2 linked regions of the Sus scrofa genome follow. The protein of the gene in region 2 binds, or shares a complex with, the protein of the main gene of each other region. Links are inferred from orthologs where the notes say so. Each region holds a gene or a part of one and is shown on either strand. Other genes may lie near its edges.

The links. The genes of interacting proteins can lie anywhere in the genome.
Region 1: the proteins of NELFE (region 2) and NCBP2 are in contact, whole or in part, in a crystal structure (PDB 5OOB), measured with the Homo sapiens proteins. The link is inferred for Sus scrofa from reciprocal best matches to the Homo sapiens genes NELFE and NCBP2. Residues at the interface, in NP_002895.3 of Homo sapiens: Lys361, Arg362, Gln364, Ile365, Val366, Tyr367, Asp369, Tyr372; in NP_031388.2 of Homo sapiens: Phe49, Tyr50, Thr51, Thr52, Glu53, Gln55, Lys68, Ile69, Ile70, Met71, Leu73, Lys77, Lys78, Thr79, Ala80, Asp107, Glu121, Gln124.

The regions. Positions count from the first base shown.
Region 1 is NC_010455.5:133,177,101-133,180,290, forward strand, and holds the start of NCBP2 (nuclear cap-binding protein subunit 2), read left to right. Parts: upstream 1-1,065; 5' UTR 1,066-3,190. Other genes in the region: PIGZ (GPI mannosyltransferase 4), read left to right, coding at 1-984. UniProt on the Homo sapiens protein: Component of the cap-binding complex (CBC), which binds co-transcriptionally to the 5' cap of pre-mRNAs and is involved in various processes such as pre-mRNA splicing, translation regulation, nonsense-mediated mRNA decay, RNA-mediated gene silencing (RNAi) by microRNAs (miRNAs) and mRNA export.
Region 2 is NC_010449.5:24,044,223-24,047,969, reverse strand, and holds the start of NELFE (negative elongation factor E), read left to right. Parts: upstream 1-1,037; 5' UTR 1,038-1,145; intron 1,146-1,584; 5' UTR 1,585-1,592; coding exon 1,593-1,667; intron 1,668-3,369; coding exon 3,370-3,439; intron 3,440-3,540; coding exon 3,541-3,686; intron 3,687-3,747. UniProt on the Homo sapiens protein: Essential component of the NELF complex, a complex that negatively regulates the elongation of transcription by RNA polymerase II.

The DNA of each region.
Region 1 (3,190 bases), on a different chromosome or scaffold from region 2:
GGGGCGGCCCTCACGGCAGCAGTGTTTGTGGCTGTGGACAGCTGGTATTTCTCCAGTCCATCGAGACCCAGAACCCTGATCCTTACACCTGCCAACTTCCTGCGTTACAACCTGGACCCTGTAAACCTGGCGAGGCATGGCACACACATGCAGCTCACTCACCTGGCAGTCAATGGCTTCCTGCTCTTTGGGGTGCTGCACGCCCATGCCCTGCAGGCTGCGTGGCGACAGCTGCGAGCCTGCCTCCAGGCCTTCGCAAGGGTGGGCTTCCTAAGAGCACTGGATGCCTGGCGCCTGCAGTCCAGGTCTCACCTCCTGCTCATCTACTTCACACCCCTGGCCCTGCTGTCTGCCTTTAGCCACCAGGAGGCTCGGTTCCTGATTCCCCTCCTGGTCCCCCTGGTCCTGCTTTGTAGTCCACAGACCCAGCCTGCACCCTGCAAGGGCACCCTCGCTCTCTTCAATGCCCTAGGGGCCCTCTTCTTTGGCTGCCTGCACCAGGGCGGCCTCGTGCCTGGCCTGGGGCACCTGGAGCGGGTGGTTCATGCCCCTGTGCTCCCGCATGTGTCCACCCGCTACACACTCCTCTTCACCCACACCTACATGCCCCCCCGGCACCTCCTCCACCTCCCCGGGCTGGGGTCACCAGTGGAGGTGGTGGACATGGCTGGCAGTGAGGACTGGCTCCTGTGTCAAGCCCTGAACAACTTCACCAGACAACCAGCCTGCCAGGTGGCGGGTGGGCCATGGCTCTGCCGCCTTTTTGTGGTGACCCCTGGCACCACCAGGCCTGCGGTGAAGAAGTGCAGCTTCCCCCTCAAGAATGAGGCGCTCATCTTTCCCCACTTGACCCTGGAAGACCCACCAGCCCTGTCCTCCCTGCTGAGTGGGGCTTGGAGGGAACATCTGAGCCTTCACATCCTGGAGCTCGGGGAGCAGCCTGACAATATGACAGCAGATCCACTGGCTGGGACTCAGCCATAGGTAAAGGCGTCTCTCCACCTCCTACCTGGGTGGCTGGGCTGGGACAGAGCCCTGATTCTCCTCCTTTCCTTTCCCTTCCAGAATTCCCACCATTGCCTCTCCTATGCACAGCCTCTGACCACTCCGCCTTCTGGGGAAACTGATACCCCATTTCCCTCAAAGACCAAAGAGAGGACCAGTCACAGTCCTGATGCCAAGGGCCCCAAAGAACCTGGTATAATCAATAATGCCAAATGTCTGTTCCTGCCCTACCCCTTCCAGTCACTGTGATGTTGAAATACGTAAATAGCACCTGGTTGTGAAAGGAGACAGCAATCTCCTAATGACGTCCTGAATGACTTCTCCCAGCCCCCCTAGGATGCCTTAGCTCTTGCTGTCATGACAGCCCTTTGGCCTCTTTCTCCTGGAAGGAGGCAGCATGGTGATGTAAAGAGCGGCGGACCTGGTTGCAGGCCCTGGTCTGCTCTTGCTGGCTACATGGTAAGACAGCCCCTTCCCCTCACCCAGCCTCAGTTTTCATCTCTACAGTGGATCAGAGGGTCTTTGAGGTGTCTGCCCCCCAACACTGTGTTGTTCCTGGGCCTGCAGCGCACATCCCCTGGCTAGATGGGCATGTCTCTCCCAAAGCTCTAAGCAGAGAAGTGGGTGTGGTGTATCTAACTGCACTTCGGTGCCTGCTGTCTCAGTACTTATTACCAAAATGAGTAGTTCTGGAACGCCCCTGGCCGCCCACTCCTGCAACTCTCTTCTTACTCGTGTCCCAGAAAGAGGTGGTAGGACATTTCTGTATCTCCTTTGGGGATCAGGGAGCCCAGATGTTCTCCCTCCTGGGTCGGCCCCAGTGGGAATGAAGACATAAGGCTCAGTATCTGGTGGTGCTTGAGCACAAAACCTTAAACGTGGTCTGGTCCCTCTCCAAGCCCCCAGCCCCTGTCTGAAGCCCCTTCACAGGACGGAGAGCGAAGTCCATACCAAATCCACGCCTGCTGCCTGGTAGAAGCCATCACACCTGGGCACATCGCTCCCCAAAACACAGCCCGCTGGGAATGTGAGAAGTGGTGGCACTAAGCTTGTTCTCGTTCTCCCGCCATCTCATGAGAACAAGAGGCAACCAGGCCGAGAGGAGGACGCTGGAGGAGCACAGGCAGGAGACACACTTGTGCAAGTGACCAAACCTGAGTGCTTTTCTAAGTCTGCCTTTTGCTAGCTAAAGTCTTGGGTCATCTTAAAGGCCCTCCTAGGCGGGCTGCTCTGCAGCTACTGCTAGGGTTCTAGTGCCACACCTTCCTTGGGACTCCAAGGGAAAGAAAGTCAGTGCCATGCTGGTCAGTGTTCTCTGGGGGCAAAACAGCCCTGATCTGCAGCGTTTGTGATTTCTGTGGTGTAACACGCTCACCATGGCCAATTGTTAACTACTAAAATGATGTTACTGAACTAAGCTGGGAGGAGACGCCAAGGACCACACTTGTGGATATTTCCCTCTTTAGTACCCGTTCAGGATAATTCATTGTTCTTGTGGTTCACGTTTCTGCTAGCAACTTCGGATTTGTCTCACCTGTAGTGCTTAGCATCATCTCTGGCACCTGATAAGCACTTGTTTACTTTGCAGCCAAAGAAGGCCTTTCTGCCCAACATTTAAAAGCCAAGTGCAACCTGGAGATCCCCCAGACTCTGTTTCAAATTCCTCTGGGCTTCTTGGGACTTCTGTCTCTTCCCTCCCCCAGTTGGGTTCACGACCTCAGAATTCCCTGGAGGTGCTGTTGGTGTAACAGCTCTTCCAGATTGTAGTGGTCTGAGCTCTAACAAATTTGTCTGTAAAGTGTTGGTATCGAGACTTGTGTGGCATCAAGGGGTGATTAGGAACTGCCCTGCAGGATAGTGGAATGAGTTGCTTCCCTGCTTCATTTTCTGGCAAAGGTTAGAAGAGCCTGGAAGGCATGCTGGGAGATGGTTGCCATGGGGAATGGTGGGAAGAATTTGGTTTCTTTAGTAATAGGGTAACTGGTGGGATGACAAGCCGCTGACTACAGACACTGGACGCTTCTCTAACGAAGAGGGGAGGCATCCAAACCCGATGGAGCAAAAAGGACCCAGTTTTCTTTCTGCTCTGACTCCTACCAAAATGGAGGGAACTTGGTTCCTACACTCTTCTTCCACAAAAAGTAAACAACTGTTCCTTCTCTTGCCTGCCTTCCTTTCCTACAAA
Region 2 (3,747 bases):
ATGAGGCAAGGAAAGAGAGTAAGACACAGACAAAAGAGATGGTGACGGGCTTCATGTTTAGATCAGAAATGGTAGGTGTCCCATACAGGCTAGGACAATTAGGCTGAAGCAATAGTTTCCAAAGGTTGTCCTACTTTATAGGAAAAACTGACCTGCAACTGAATTATCTGGAGAGCTGTTTAATAATATAGATTTTGGATTAAAGAATTTCTGGAGATGGACCTAAGAATTTCTAATTTAGGAAAGCTCCCCCTCTAATCATGAGGCACACAGATTCTGATAATCACTAGTTTTAGGAAAAGGAGCCCCAGACCTAAGGATGAAAAACCGAAGGTGCTCAAGGGCTGACCTATCAGCCACCAACAAGTGCCCTGGTGCTTGGAGACAGAAGAAGATGCCAGGGAGAAAAGACCCACTGGAAAGAGCAGTTCTCAGAGCTAAAGTTATCCCCAGGGCTCCCTGCTCTGTCTTCTCATGGGCTCTGACGCACTGCAGGTCGACTGGGTTGGGATCCATCCCGCACCAGTCCAAAGCTGGGATGACAGGTGTCCAGAGACAGGTGAGCCAGGTCAGGTTAGACCCTACTGTGAGAAGGCTGAAAGGGGTTTTAAGCCCTATTAATAAGGGTCAAGGTTAGGTTAGAGCTAAAAGTCACTCACGGTGCTCTCTGGAGCCCCAGGCACATTCAGCAGCTCCCAGCGCCCGGTACATCCTAGCTCCAAGGCGCGGAGGGGCAGATCCAGGGGATCTGGGGTAGGCAGCACTATGGGAGGAAAATCACAGGTCAGGGGTCAAGGGTCATTCCCTGTCTCCTCCTCCTTCCCACCTTCTGCCCCCTCACCGAGTCGCTCCGTCTCCATCATCCTGGAGCCACGGTAGCTGCCGGGCAGCCCGGAAGTGTAGGGAGGAGCCGAAACCCGCGGAACTAGCGGCGACTTCCGGAACACACCCCGCTGGGGGCGGGGACGAGCACTACCGAGGGGCGGAACCCAAGCTGGTGGGAGGCCGGACGGAAGTGTGCGCGCCGCGAGCCGCCTTGGTTACCGCGGTCTCCGCCCCTCGCTACGTCATCGCTCCGAGCCAGCGATCCGCTGCCCGCGCGGGCGCCGCCCGAGACCGTGGGGCTCCGGTTGCCGCCCCCTCAGGTAAGGCCTTCTCCGTCTCACCCTTCGCCCCTTTTTTCCGAGCTCCTTCTCTCTTCTTGCCCTGTTCGTTGCTCTGAGAGCGCTGCGCGGGTTCCACTGCCTCCTCTGCTTTTCGGACCCTGCGAATGCCATACTAACCCCAGCGAGGTAGGGGGGGTCTGGTGCCATCGTCTTCGCGACGGAGGGGGTGTTTCTCCCTTCCTGGGCTACGTGGTGCCCCAAGGCGCTGGTATCCGTGATTCCCGGAGAGAGAAGGGAATGCTGGTTGATCCCGACGAGCGGGGGCTTGGACGGCAGCTGGTTTAAGCAAGGGGTAGGGAGAGGCAAAAGACAGGAGTAGGCAGGCCTGGAGGGGTGGGATTGGGTGCAGTGTGGACGGCGTGTGACCCCTGGGCGGTGACAGTGGAGAAAGATGTCTTGGGCCCTGCCCCTGAACCAGGAGCCACCATGTTGGTGATACCCCCCGGACTGAGCGAGGAGGAGGAGGCTCTGCAGAAGAAATTCAACAAACTCAAGAAAAAGGTGAGGGAGTGTGTGTGGGCATGGCCCAAACTTTCAAAGACTCTACACTGAGAACACCTGGGGTGAGTGTGAGGGGATGGGGGGGTGGGGGTTCTTCTAGCTCATACCTAGAGACATGGCACCTCTCAGTGTCCCTTCATGGGTGGACTTTCTCAAGGTGGATACTTGCTTTTCTCTCTTTTCTGTATAGTCTGCCATGGAGGTGTCTTCCTTTCCTCCGGCTTTTAGTACCACCTAAGAACTGGTGATCCCAGGCTTGGTTTTTTTTAGTTCCATCTGTATCTTGCCAATAACCTTCATATATTGCCGCTCTGGTCTTACCTATTCTAATCTTGGTCTTCCAAATAGGACTGACTCCATTCACTTCTCCCGCTGTTTGGAATCCAGATCTCGTCTCTGTCTTATTTGCGTAGCCAAATGTTTGCCGAGTCGTCTTGATTCCTCCTTTGAAGTAACTTCTTCTGTTTACTCCTTCCTGTGTATTCTCGCAGTCAGGCCTTTGCTGATGCTCACCTAGACTGTTGTAATCGTCTCTCAGCAAGTTTCTTTTTTCGACAGACTTTTTTACTTCTATTAAAATGGTGCTTTGAAAACAGAAAACACTGTCCTTCTTTTTCTCAAAAGCCAGTGGTTTCACATTGTCTATAAAAGAGCCTTAATTTGGCAGCCCTTCCTCGTCAAATAGAACTATTCCTGGGAGTTCCCGTCGTGGCGCAGTGGTTAACGAATCCAACTAGGAACCATGAGGTTTCGGGTTCGGTCCCTGCCCTTGCTCAGTGGGTTAACGATCCGGCGTTGCCGTGAGCTGTGGTGTAGGTTGCAGACGCGGCTCGGATCCTGCGTTGCTGTGGCTCAGGCGTAGGCCGGTGGCTACAGCTCCGACTCAACCCCTAGCCTGGGAACCTCCATATGCCGAGGGAGCGGCCCAAGAAATAGCAACAACAACAACAACAACAACAAAAAGACAAAAAAAAAAAAAAAAAAAAAGAACTATTCCTTAATCCCAAAACACACACACATACACACACACACACACACACACACACACACACACACACCCAGAGTCTTATCTCTGCATCTTTGCCGCCTTGTTTTCTTTGTCTAAAATGCCTTTTCTTTTCTGTATGTTATTGTAGATTCTATCCAGGGCTCAGTTTAATGTGGGCATCAGGAAGGTCTTACTTGCTCTCAGCTATAGTCTACACTTCTTTAATCAGTCTTGACAATTTAGTCTGGTCATCTTATTTCTCAAACTCTAAGCTTCTTGAGGGGAGGATTTCCGTCTCATACTTCTGCATAGACCTGTTACAGAAATTCCTAGTGATGCTCTTTCTGATTAAACGTTTAGGGGGCGGACAGGTGAAGCCCCCAAGAAGGCATGGAGACTTACACTTAATTGCAGCTTGTATCTGCAGACTCTGGTCTATGATTAAACCCCTTGTCTTCGACTTGAGAAACGTGAGACTCTGGAAAGCCTCTGGATACTGTGGTTTGAATAGATTAGGTGTTGTTAGCATTGTAGATGCTCTGGGGGACCATATGTGAGAGGCAGGGCTGCCTCAGTGTGCCACTCTAGGGGCACCATTTGCATTATTTTCTCTGAGAAAGTTGTCCCCTGGAGTGATGTGCCCAGGGGCCTTGGGAGAGGACCTGGGCAGGGACTGGCCCTCACTGACCCCTCTCTTCTCACTCTCATTCCCAGAAAAAGGCATTGCTGGCTCTGAAGAAGCAAAGCAGCAGCAGCACTGCCAGCCAAGGTGGTGTCAAACGCTGTGAGTGACAGGGGAAGTGGGGATAGACCGGAAGTGAGGAGCCCAGGCCGACCTCTGTCACAGCCTGGCCAACACAAAGCCTCTTTCCCCCGCCACTCCAGCTCTGTCAGAGCAGCCCGTGGTGGACACGGCCACAGCAACTGAGCAAGCAAAGCAGCTGGTGAAGTCAGGAGCCATCAGTGCCATCAAGGCCGAGACCAAGAACTCGGGCTTCAAACGTTCTCGAACTCTAGAGGGGAAGTTAAAGGTGAGCACAGGGAGAAAGATGGTTCAGGGCATCCGTGACTTCAGAGGGATCCTGCCAAGTT